Linked DNA regions of Coturnix japonica. The protein of the gene in region 2 purifies or fractionates together with the protein of the main gene of each other region. This does not show direct contact. Links are inferred from orthologs where the notes say so. Each region holds a gene or a part of one and is shown on either strand. Other genes may lie near its edges.

Region 1 (4,064 bases), on a different chromosome or scaffold from region 2:
TGCAATGGATGAGGCAGCAGTTCTTCCTGTAGTAAGACAGGTAGGTTGCCTCAGCCCTAGTGGCCTTCTACTAGGGGGGAAGCAACTCCTGTGAGATGAACTATGCTAGAATTAAGTTTTGAGGGATAAAAAAAACAAACAAAACCCACAAAAACCTGATGTGAGCACTGAAAACAAACTTTCTTGTTCCATTTTAGAAGCATGTTTTTTTAGTACAACCCTAGACTCCCAGATATAAACACACTATTCATATATCTACCTGCGTTTCTCTTAAGTACACTAACAACCCCTTGAAAGCTACTCACAGTTGTCCAAAGAGCCAGCATCTATGCTCACAACTGAAGAACAGACTGTAAAGCTCTTGAGACATGATCTCTAAGGTCCCTTCCAACCCACACAAGACTGTGATACTGTGAGACAGGGAAATCTTAAGAGTGCCACTTTGGAAACTTATCATTTTCAGGAAGAAAATGAGTTTCATTATATTACCCAGTTTTAAGTTAACAGCTGTAGGAAGGCAAAGAAGTTGTTTTACGCAATGAGTTGATGGTCTGAAACTCCATACTGAATTTGTTTCCCTCTGTCCTACGTAATCTGGAGGTTACGGACTGGTCAATTTCTAAACTCAGATTTTCAAGCTCAGAGTAACAGAATAGGAACCTAAGTGGTAACAATGTGGCAACTCCTGCTTCCTTGTTTCAATCTTGATACTTCCTATCCACCAGGCAGGCCCAGTAGTTCAGTAGTTAGTGCTTATTTTGAGTCCAACGAATGGTAGAAGTTGATACAAAATAAGAATTCAGCACACTGATTTTGTTAAAGTTGGCATTTCTGCCCAAGGTGCAGGGCAGGAAAACAGAAAGTGAGGACTGCAACCTACTGCAAGTGGCCAAAGAAGTTTGATGGGGCCATCTCCACCTGAAGACAGATTTCTCTCAAAGCGCTTTACTGGCCTCCATAAACTTGACTGAAAGCTTCCCAGAATATTCTCTCACCTCCCAAAAGAGGAAGAAAATTAGCAAATAATAATAATAAACAAGAGAAAAGTAAAATTTGGGGAAACAAGTTTCAAATAGAATTAAAAGACCTGGGTTAAAGACACTGCATAGTTGAAGTGAACTATTATTCATACATTCCTTCCAGTGTACAAAATCTGAGGAAGCTCTGATTAAGTAAATAACAGGGGTCAAAAAAGAAAGAATTTAATTTATTATAGGACATACCATTATGATAACTAAACTTCCTCATTCATCCTGGCTCTGACTCGTAACAGATCAGTGTTCTCCTGGAAAAGGAATCTCAACTAAACCATAAGAGGGAAAGAACATGATAAGGAGAGGTCAACATGGATGAGGAGGGAAATAAAAGTGGTTTTCTGAGCACATATATAGAAGAAATTCAAGAAACGTGAAGCTCTTATTAATACTGCTAAAAGACGCTCTATGATGTAGAGCTTAACAGAAAAGACAAATTAAATCCTACAGACAGCTTTCTTGGTTTCTGTTGTAGCAGCAGCTACCACAACTGTTTGACCGGATTCTGAAAAATCTTCAGGGAAGAAAAAGAAGATTGAAACACGACTGAAGAAAATTAAGAGAAGAGACAAACTTACAGCATGTGTAGTTGTCCAATAATTACGTTACAATTCAAAGCATATGTTCAGCTTCTACAAACTCCTCCAAAACTCCATCATCAGTAGAATCTCATCAACACCTCATAGCACATACTTATTCTCCTTTCAGACAGGGAAGTTCTGAGAAGGAACGCTCTATTTCCTGCATTAGTGTTAATGGAGTTTCAACAACTTCCAGTGAACAAGCTCAGTCACGCCATCACTCAGAGAAAGCTGTGACTTAAGGCAAACCTGCTTCAGTAGCATTCAGTCCTGAGGGGACCAATAGCCTTGCATTCTGTACAGCTACTCTGGCATCTGGGCCAGTTCCTAGTTTGTAATCTGGAAAAGTTTATTGAGTTTGTATACATATATACGTGCATATATGCGTGTGCACAAGCACACTTTAAAACAAGGTGCTACACTTTAATATAACAACACAGAAACACAAAATCACCCACATCTGCAACCCACGGATTTCTAAAGCATTCTCATACAAGGCTTCAACTTCCACAGTACCAGTTCTGAGACTACTTGATAAAGTTCTCACAAACGGAGCTGCTGTGCAAGCATAGCATGTAATTCACAAAAGCACAAGTGAGGATCAGGGCCGTGTCCCACAGGAGCTCAGCTTCAGAAAAGGATCCATACAACCAGGTTACTTACCAGTTTCTACAACTTACCATTCGCTGTTTGCCCACCTACCTTCCTCCACCAGGAAGGGAAGACCTTACAAGAGCTGATGGGCAGCACGACTCCAGTGCTCAGATTCAGCTCGTAGCGTTCGGATGAACACTCCAATAGCTTACACAGGGACGGCCATCGGTGTGCGGGGACACACCAGACCCAAAGTGGAAGCGGTAGCGCCCACAGGACAGGGGCTGCGGGCAGTCTCCGCTTCTCCCCTTCCCCTCTCCCTTCAGACAGAGCCGCTCCAGGCGCTGCGCAGGTAACCGAGCAGGCAGAGCCCGACCTCACCTTTTTCACTTTGCTTTCCAAGTCCATGCCGCCGTATCACCGCACACAGGGCTCGGGGCGCAGATCGAGGCAGGGAACAGCCCCCGGCCGGTATCGAGGCGGCTGAGCGGAGCCGCGGGCGACACACCGAGACCAAAGCGCCAGCACCGGTAACCGGCGCCGCCCTTCGCACTCCGCCGCGGCGCTCAAACTTCCGCTGCCCTGCGGCAGCGGCTGCAGCCGAACAAAGGCGGGGTGGCAGCCAATCTCCGCCCGCCCCCCCTCCCGTCCCCGCGCCCTCAGCCAATCCCCACCCCGCCGGTCACGGCTCCTGGGTTGTATGGAGGGTGTTTGGTGGTGCGGCCGTGCTTCTGTGGAGGGGGAGAACTGAATAGACCTGGGAATCTCCAACACTGATGGGAGAAGGAGAAAGAAAGCGAGGGGCCTTGCCTGCTCCCACAGCTGTGTGGATCCGCTTGGGTGCCCTCTCACCGCTGCAATGGTGATATCAATGGCGATATCTTCCAAGTGGATTGACTTCCACCTGGAGCGGCTGGAGGGATCTTGGCACTGCTGGGACTGATCTCATGGCGTGTTATCTCATCGTGCTGCTTTAGAGGAGTGTCTATTGTTTAGTCACGGTGCTGAGCAACATTACTTTTCTTCTGTTGGCTGCAGATGAATACTGTGATATAAAACTTGGACTTTGACCCCAGCCTTCAAATTCCCATATGTGTGATCAGTCATGGAAGGGAGCCGATAATGTAAAATGTACTTTATGTATCATGTATATACAGTATAAAATATCAGAGTGATTAAACGTTTGCAAGATTGGTTACTTCCATACATAAATGCCTTTAGATCTTTGGAAACAAATAGCAAACATTCATAGTCTTAAGTGAATGATTTAGTAGGTTGTCACTCATCTGAAGAGTCTAATCTTCTCTCTACACGCATACCAGTTGTTTTCATGCCTTACATCGTACATTTTCAGTACTTTATTTATTTTTTTTTTGTCATTTCATTACTTGTGGAGAGGTGACTGCAACAAAGGGAAAATGAGTCTGTATCTCTTTGCTGTCTGTTTACAGGTAAAAGGAAAATTCTGTTTGATTTTTCTGCTGGAACAGGTATCATGGTGCATGTATTTCTACCACAGAACCCATGAAACAAACTTTGACCAGGAAATTCACTAAAAAATTGAGAGGATATCTCAAGGTTGTATCTGAAATATTGCAGCCAGCCGGACCAAGGAGGTGATTGCCCCCCTACACTCAGCTCTGGTGAGGCCATGCCTCAAATACTGTGTTCAGTATTGGGCCCTTCACTACAAGGAAGACACTGAGGTCCTGGGGCATGCCCAAAAAAAGACAATGAAGCTGTGAAGGGTCTGAAGCATTGGAATTAAGAGAAGTGGCTGAGGGAGCTGAGATTGTCCAATCTGCCACAGAGGAGGCTTAGGGGTGACCTCATTGCTCTCCACAGCTACCTTATA
Region 2 (4,002 bases):
TGGGCTGAATTGCCTTGCTCCAATGTATGCTCTGCTCCCTGAGGGCTGCCCAGCTCTGTGTTTTGATTGGTATCAAAGGACAGAGCAAATAGGTTCAGGTAACTCGGAAATGCTGGCAAATGAGTCATGAAATGTATTACAGTTATTCATTTGTTTTTACAATCCAGTACGAGCGTAAGTTCTGTAGAGATATTTGAATTAAAAGTCATGTCAAAACAAACTATGAAAAATACCAGTGATTTGATGCAGGGAAAACGTGGTCACTGGCTGTCTTCAAAGCCTCTGAAATACATTACTCCTTGGAGACATCTCTCCCCATCCACAAATCTACATTCATTGACTAACACTCAGCTCCTAAAAGCTCCCTAAGAGCAGGAGCTGCCACTGACCGCACCAAGCAGCACAAGGATGCTGCTTCAGACTTCTGTGTGTTGAGATGAGACACCAAAAGACCAACTAAACTCCGTAACGTCCCAGTCAGGAGCCACAGCACCAACATGGGACATGACAGCAGCTTCACACTGTGACTTTGGGGCCTGCAAGGCTCTTCTAACAGCACTTACAGACTGTCTGTCCAGCCTGGAGCACAGCAGGCTCTGGGGTGACCCTCTGGCTCTGTACAGCTGCCTGTAGGAGCACTCAGTGTTGTGGCAAGTGACAAAACGCAGGGTGAACGCAGCACATTGCACGAGGGGATGTTTAATTTGGGTATAATCACAGAATCACAGAATTGTAGGGGTTGGAATCTCTAGAGATCATCCAGTCCAACCCCCCTGCCAAAGCAGGCTCCCTACACCAATAATAATCATAATTTCTTCATACAAAGGATGGTAAAACACTGGAGCTGGCGATGAGGCCCCGTCCCACAGGCACTGAGAGTGTGGATGTGGCCCTTGGGGGCTGCAATAGTGCTGGTGGGGGGTGGGCTGGGGGGTCCCTAAAGTCTTTCCCAAGCGCAGACATGCTGTGATCTCACTCTGGCCGGTAACTGGACAATTTTTGCTTGTGACTGGAATTGTTGGTTCTGCCCCAAGCACGAGGTGTGTGGGGCGATGTGAGGGTGCTGCAGCCGGGCCTGAAGGGGTGCAGGGCCGAGTGGAGGCGGTGGGACCCCCATGTCGGGCTGACCCCCATGGCGGGCCCTCACCTGCCCGCGGGGCGGCGCGGCGGGCGGTGACGGGAACAGCGGCCGGGCGGGGCGGGAGCGGCGGCGGGAGGCGCCCGGAAGAGCCCATTTCCTGCTCGGGACGGAGCGGGTGCGGCCCAGACAAAGCGGCCGGGGGTCGGTGCGGGTCCGGCGGCGCAGCGCGGCTCCTCGTCCCTGCTCCGGTAACTATCGCACTAGCGCCGCTTTAACGGCGCCTTGGAAACTTTTGGCGGCGGGACGGGCCGGGCTCGGCTGCATTGGGCCCCGCGGGGCGGTCGGAGCTGAGGCCGCGGGCGGGGAGCGGGGCCTGTGGGGCTCCGAGTGGGGCGGGGGCAGCGCGGCCTGGGCCGGGTTCCGGGAGCGGGGCTCGGCCGTGGGGCTGTGGGGTCGTGGGGCTGTGGGGCCGCGCTGTGTGTGTCGGTGTGCCCCGTTTCGGGTGATCCCGGATCAGGGCGGGCGGGGCCCGGCAAAGTCCGGGCAAGTTTCGGTGGCGGCGCGGAGTTCGCTGAGACTTTTCCCCGAGGGCTCGGGCTGCCCGCATGGCTCCTCGGTTCGGCTCCTCGGTTCGGCTCCTCGGTTCTGCCCTGGGCTGTTCCGACGCTTCGGGAGCGGCCTGGCTCTAAGCGCGGTTCTCTCCGTCCGCCCCAGCTGGGAGCGGCGTTGGGCGCTGCCCCCGCTCGTCCTTGGCCGGCCACGACTTGTGTCCCATCGCTCCTATTTAAAGCGTGGGGTGAGAGTGTCAGACCCCAGCTGCTGGCTCACACCAGCCCTCCCGGGGTCACCAGGCGCTCTGCTTTCACACACTGAGCTCAGCATAACGCGTGTGAAGCATCCCGGTGTGGGCACAGCGAGGTGTGTGTGTCTCTTGCTGGGAGCTGGCTGCGGTCTGCCCCCATGTTACCCCCCCACACCCCGTAGAGCTTCCAGACCCCTCTCTTGTTCCCCCTTTATTCCCTGCTTCTGTCTGCCCGTCCTCACCCAGAGGGCGATGTCTGTGTCTGACTGAGCTGCCAGTCGATAACCCCCATGCCCTGCAATAACTCACACTCCCTGTTTGCATTAGGAGTGCCCGTGTCCTCGTTCCAGCACCCAACGTGACCACCCATGGCATGGCTGAGGTGACTGGATTCAATTGCTCTTTCCCCTCACCCCCCACTTCCTTTTCAATCTTCCCCCTCCCTCCCGTCCCCCCTTTTATTTTCCTGGGACAGGGGCTGAATAACCAGAGTTGTTCCTGATGCTGGAGTTGCTTCCTGTGTTATTCCTGCGTGGTGAGCAGGGAAGAGGAGGAGGTGGGGAGGCTCTGCTGGTTGCATGGATCCCAGTGCACATCCCCAGCCCGGCTCTGGTGAGGCTTCACACACTGCCCAGCTCAGTGGGGCCTGTCAGCCCTTGGGCTGGGCTGTGGGGTGGTCATTTTGTGTTTCAATGGTGTGAAAGCCAGTTTGCTTCACAGAACTCGTGGTCTTTGGGTACGGTTTGGACCATCTTTGGGTGCTGTGTGTTTGCTAACACTTGTTTTTCCTTCCTGTAGTGAAATATTTTCTTTGGAAAGGGCATCATTTCATGTTGAGTCATTAACTGATTTTTTTATTCAGAGAAACAGTTTTCAATGGAAATATCTTAGTTCCTCTTCTGAAAAGTCAATGATTTAGTTCTTGGTTGTTTTTTTTTTTGAAGGCTTTGCCCTAACCTTTTCCATAATAAACAACAAGCTTTCAGCCTTTAGCTTTTTCCAGCCAGCTCTAATAATAGAGCAGTGGAGATTAAAAGTTTACCCAGGGTGGCGGGGGGAAGCACAGCGGGTGGAGATTAGAAATCCCGCACCCAAAACGGTGACTTAAAATATTGTAGCGAGTATTTATGTCTCCATAAATTCTCCAGCTTCGTGTAACATCAGCATTTCCAGTGTCTGACATGTGTAATGGCAAATACCAATATACAGCTGCTTCACAGGGTGTCCGTGGGTCTGATAAAGTTAACTGAGAGATGTAATAGAAAAACAATTTGTGTGTTTTCAGCAGCATGAATATCTTCCTCCCGCAGCTGTGAGATGGAGAAACTGATCTTGCAAAAGAATCCACATAAGTAGAAGTGTTTATGAGCTGGAAATAGACTTCAGTAGAATGTCAGACCTTCATTGAAGTTGCATCTACTGTTAGTTCTTAATTTCTAAGGTTATTTTCTTATGAAGAGAGTTTGTTAAGTTCATGGAAGTATTTAATGGCATGGCCAGTCGACTCATCATGGATGCTTAGTAAGGTTGGTATTGAGTGAGGAAGTACAAGGCCATGGTCCTCCCTGAAAGGACTCGGTGTATTGCATCTGGGTTGGTTTTACTGGCACCTCTTGGCTTTGGACATCAGAGGAAACGTGGTGAATAAAAGAGGACTGAATATTATGTTAGCACAATACCATATTGAGATGAGGTCATGTAACACAAAGCTGAATGCCCGTTGTTGTTCCCTGCTGAAGTGCCTTAACTGGAAATCACTCGAAGTCTTACATTGTAGAACATCGGTGTGTATAACCTTGAGGATTTGGGTTCTTTATTACTTCTGGGAATCCACCCTACCTTGGCTTTATAGCTAATCAGGAGTAGCACTGTATGTAGCTCATGCATTGGTCAAACTGAGTTACAGCTTTCCAGGAAGTGCAGATGTTTGACAGTTACTACTTGTATTTTCATATGGCTTTAATCCAACGTGTGAGGCTGGAAAGAAAAACTGCAGCAGCACCTTTGTTGGAGGAACCCAACTGGCAGCGACCTGTGGGGCCATAAGGCAGCAGTGGCTGGCAGAGCGCGATGCAGTGATGTGCCTCATTGAGTTACAGGAGGAATGCAGTTACTGCAA
Region 3 (4,193 bases), on a different chromosome or scaffold from region 2:
TGTAAGAGATGACTAAATAGGCTGCCTTCAAAGCTGCTATTTAATAGCTGAGCTGTGGTTTGTACAGTTTTAGGGATTTATATAAAACTTTTTGAATCAGCTATTTATTTCTCTTCTGTGCATTTACTTTGGCTTTATTTTATCTTATTCCTAGAAAAAAATGAGTAAGATACAGTTGTTTTGCTTTATTTTATCCGTATATCCCAAATATTTTACAGCTGGAACTGTCAGGCACTGAATTTGATGCTGCTGTGCTCCATCTTTTGTTCATAAAGTTACAAAACATGGTAACCAAAGGAAAACCATTTGGCTAAAGTGAGCTGGTACAGTCTGTACTTCAGGAAAAACAGATGGTAGTGTTTCAGCTGCCATTTCCTCTCATTGCTGTGGTCCTGTGGGATCTCATGGATTTTTGCTGTGATGAGGTTAGCAGGTGAAACTGAGGACAGCACTGCCTGCTTGAGCTGCCATTCGTTTCACTGCAACTAATAATTTTATAGACCTGCAGAAAACATTTATAGCTCAAATGTCAAGTCTTGATTAAAGCATACTTTAAAAACCCTCTTGGATCTGTGGCTTTGTTCATCACAGTATTTCAGGGTGCCCTTTATTGGCAGCACATACAGACACTTTGGAAGCAGGGTCCTGCTGCACTCTGACTCTTACTAATAATTCAAACCTTTTTTTTTTTTTTTTTAATTTAAGCAAGGACTGTAAGTGTTCCTCCAAGTTAGCAGGGGAATGGCTTATTCAAATACTTAAACTTCTTGTTATGCTCTTAAATTTTCTTACAGCGAATGATATTTCTTCCACCAGCATTATTCATTTTATGTATTGAGTTATTTCAGAAAATAACTTGTTCTGCAGGGTACTGTAGACATTTAACTGAGAGATGCTGGTGTTCAGACTGATTTATAAGACACCTGATACGTACAGTGTAGTTTCTTCTTGCAGACTGGGAGTAATTATTAAAGAAAAATCAAGTGAAGATGCAGGTAATACTGTACTGATTGGAAATTTGCATTTTGCAGGTTATTTTAGTAAGTAATCAAACAAGTCTGATGATAAATAGTGTCCATTCAATGAAAATACATTTGATGGAATATTCTAATGAACATTTGTTGTTTTATTTTATTTTATTTTATTTTATTTTATTTTATTTTATTTTATTTTATTTTATTTTATTTTATTTTATTTTATTTTATTTTTTTTCTGGTATTTCCCTTTTACTTGGCTTAATTCTTGCTCTGAAATTACCTATTCGTGCTTATGTGAGGTTAGGTTAATTAATTACAAATCTTGTTCTATGCTTGTATGTTAAGTCAAACTTAAACCACTTTTCTACATGAAGACTTTGATAAATATGCAGACATCTGTAGCTAAACTGAGGTGTTAATCAGATTAAGGTATTCTTAGAGAGCTTTTGTTTTGTGGCATTTGTTTCCAGGCAAGACAGAAGTAATGATGTAAAATATCCTAAGAGAGGAATTTGCTTGGAAGTCACTATTATACACCAGGGAAGAAATAAGCCCTTCTTGATCCCCTGTAATAACTCTTCCCATGGTTTTTTTTTTTGTTTTTTTTGTTTTTTTTTTAAATTTAATTTTATTTTTTTTTAATTTTATTTTTTTTTAATTTTATATTCAGATAATTTGCATACCTGATTGTTATAAAAAGCTGGAAACTAAATGATTATTGATTGTTGAGCTGGAAACTTAATGATTATTTTTGTTTACAGTATCATGGTCGGAATCTGAACAGTGTAAATGAAAATGAAAAATCTCTTTTGAAATTGAGAGTTTCATCAGGGTAGAAAAAAATAAGAAAATGACTGATAAGTGAATAATACAAGACAGGTTATATTCTGTTACACAGTACTGGCAACTCCCCTCCAGGGGGAGGTCTGTATTACCACAAGTATTGTTATAAGCCTTTCCCTGTCCCCTCCCTAGGCAGCTCTGTGTGAAAATTCTGCTGAATTTGCCAACTCTTCAAAATTAGATGTTGTTCAGGTGCAAAAATTTTACTTTGATTCAATATCTGGACACTTGCTATTCTTAATGAAGCCACATTAGATTTAATGAGAGCAGGTTGACTCAACAAAACAACTTTTTTTTTGTCTAACAAAACAACTCTGCCTTACAGAGCCCAGTTTTACTGTTACTTTCTCATTTATACAATGTGTAAGACCAAATGTGAATTTCTGAATACAGTAGGCAGTAAGAAATAGAAAAGTAACCACCAAATGTAAGGAAGATAAATCATCTTTGCAGTGCCTGTAGATTAATGCATGCTATGCGTGCTTTGCAGAAGGAGCATGTTTGGTAAGCAGACAAAACTTGATTAGAAGAAAGTAGCCCTAGCAGTACTTACTGCTGCATTTCAGGGACTGCAAATGGCTGTGCTAACATGAATGGATAAAACCTTCTCAGATCTGTGAAAAGCACTGCTGCTAGATGAAAAGCTGTATCCCTTTCAAAAGGTACCTTTGAAGCACAGAGGACTTAAATTTCTTTGCCATCTCCTGTCATGGACTGAGGTCAGCACTAACAGCAGACTTGGATTTTTTTCTCCCAATTTTTTTGATCTCCTAATTAGACAACATTGCTCTAACCTGCTCTGACAAACCCGGAGAGACAAGGCAGCAAAGTAATGACACAGATAGAATTGTTACCTGCACTGCATGCTCTGAGTGGCTTCTAAATTGCAAAAAAGCAGTCCTCCTTTGCTCCAGTGAGTTTACAGGGTGAGAATAGTTAAGGACACATAGTGAGTTCAGTGGGAATGGGAACCACATCTTCAACCTTCAGTGACACATTGGGAGGTTGTGCAACATTTAACTCGGAGAGAGCATTTCTTGTTACTCTTCTTTGTGTAAATTATTCCTCTGCGCTTCTCTTGTTTCTGATTAAAGCTGTCTTGTCACATACTCTCAACAATGTACAATAATTCATTCTAAAGTGGGTCTTTCCTGAGAACATTGTGCTGCTTTTTGGTTTCCAGCTTATTGAGCTGATTTAAATGTGCCTGGTGCCTGGCTGCCTAGTATTATGGTGTTGATTGTCCTTATGTCGGCTTTATACACCTGAGAAGTGGCTTCCACTGATGACTAAACAGCCGGGAGCACAAATGCCTACCTGAAAACTGATTATAAAATGACTTTTTATATGCATGATAGTACCTTCAAGTAAATAGCCACTTTGATGACTAAACAATCTGGACTGCAAATGCCTGCCTGAAAGCTGATTATTAAATGGCATTTTATACTTGTGATAGTAGCTTTGAATGAACAGTCGCTTCAGCAGTATTTTAACCAAATGTGCAACTGCAAAAAAATCCCACATCACTCTGTATTGAGTGAGCACTGTATTCTGTATTCTCTGTATTCTTAGCACTGGAGCTCCGCAGCGGAGCTGAGGAGTTTGTTCTGTGTCTGATTTTGGCCCACAGTTTGTTACCTCATGTTTTTTTCTGAAGAAAAAAAAGCATTTTTTTTCTTTCTGTATGTTCTTTCTGATTTCAGCTCTACATTTCTGGTGAGTCTGGGGAAAATAATGATTTTTTCCATCTCTTCAGCATACCAAACAATTCTCTCTTAGGTGGTAGAAAATACAACTGCATCTGATGGTTGGATGGAGTCCTTGGGCAGGTCAGACACCTCTTCCATAGATGAAAAAATGTTTATTTGTTGTTATTTATAGTCCCTTTAAACAATAATAACCGTGAATATGGTGTGTATGTTGAAGATTCTTTTCTTTTGATTAGATAGCCCATGGTCAGCAGCGAGCAAAGGACGCCAGACTGATAGCAGGCAGCAAGACAGGGCTCCTGGTCTTTCTGTTGTTTCTGACACAGAACTAGGTAAAAATGAGGGAGGCAAGCACTGATATTGGCCTTTAAAAAAATACATATATATTATTTAAGAAACAAAGCTACCTCCACACCAGTGTGTGAATAGCTGTGAACTAAGGATGGTGAAAGCAGTAATGAAACCTACACTAATGCCCTCCCAGAGCTTCCTGACTGCTTTGCTTGCATTTCAGTAAGTGACCTGCTGACTTGGGGGTTTAAGAGCTGTGGGAAGTACAGAGGAAGGCTGTGAACTGAAAATATGGTCGAAGAGGGCATTTCCTGTAAAGTTTAGAGAAATGTGTGCAGAAGAAAGTTATAAGAGGTCACAATGATCCCCTCTG

What was found. Proteins that work in one complex are often made in the same cells at the same time.
Region 1: the proteins of CTNNA1 (region 2) and TES purify together in Homo sapiens (affinity purification with mass spectrometry; 3 studies listed by BioGRID and IntAct, with this or other methods). This does not show direct contact. The link is inferred for Coturnix japonica from reciprocal best matches to the Homo sapiens genes CTNNA1 and TES.
Region 3: the proteins of CTNNA1 (region 2) and CDH5 purify together in Homo sapiens (affinity purification with western blotting; 4 studies listed by BioGRID and IntAct, counting the BioPlex papers as one, with this or other methods). This does not show direct contact. The link is inferred for Coturnix japonica from reciprocal best matches to the Homo sapiens genes CTNNA1 and CDH5.

The regions. Positions count from the first base shown.
Region 1 is NC_029516.1:22,616,825-22,620,888, forward strand, and holds the start of TES (testin), read right to left. Parts: upstream 2,813-4,064; 5' UTR 2,618-2,812; coding exon 2,591-2,617; intron 1-2,590. UniProt on the Homo sapiens protein: Scaffold protein that may play a role in cell adhesion, cell spreading and in the reorganization of the actin cytoskeleton. Plays a role in the regulation of cell proliferation. May act as a tumor suppressor. Inhibits tumor cell growth.
Region 2 is NC_029528.1:14,040,078-14,044,079, forward strand, and holds the start of CTNNA1 (catenin alpha-1), read left to right. Parts: upstream 1-1,194; 5' UTR 1,195-1,329; intron 1,330-2,474; exon of another isoform or gene 2,475-2,495; intron 2,496-4,002. UniProt on the Homo sapiens protein: Associates with the cytoplasmic domain of a variety of cadherins. The association of catenins to cadherins produces a complex which is linked to the actin filament network, and which seems to be of primary importance for cadherins cell-adhesion properties.
Region 3 is NC_029526.1:10,029,647-10,033,839, forward strand, and holds the start of CDH5 (cadherin-5), read right to left. Parts: upstream 2,813-4,193; 5' UTR 2,798-2,812; coding exon 2,675-2,797; intron 1-2,674. UniProt on the Homo sapiens protein: Cadherins are calcium-dependent cell adhesion proteins. They preferentially interact with themselves in a homophilic manner in connecting cells; cadherins may thus contribute to the sorting of heterogeneous cell types.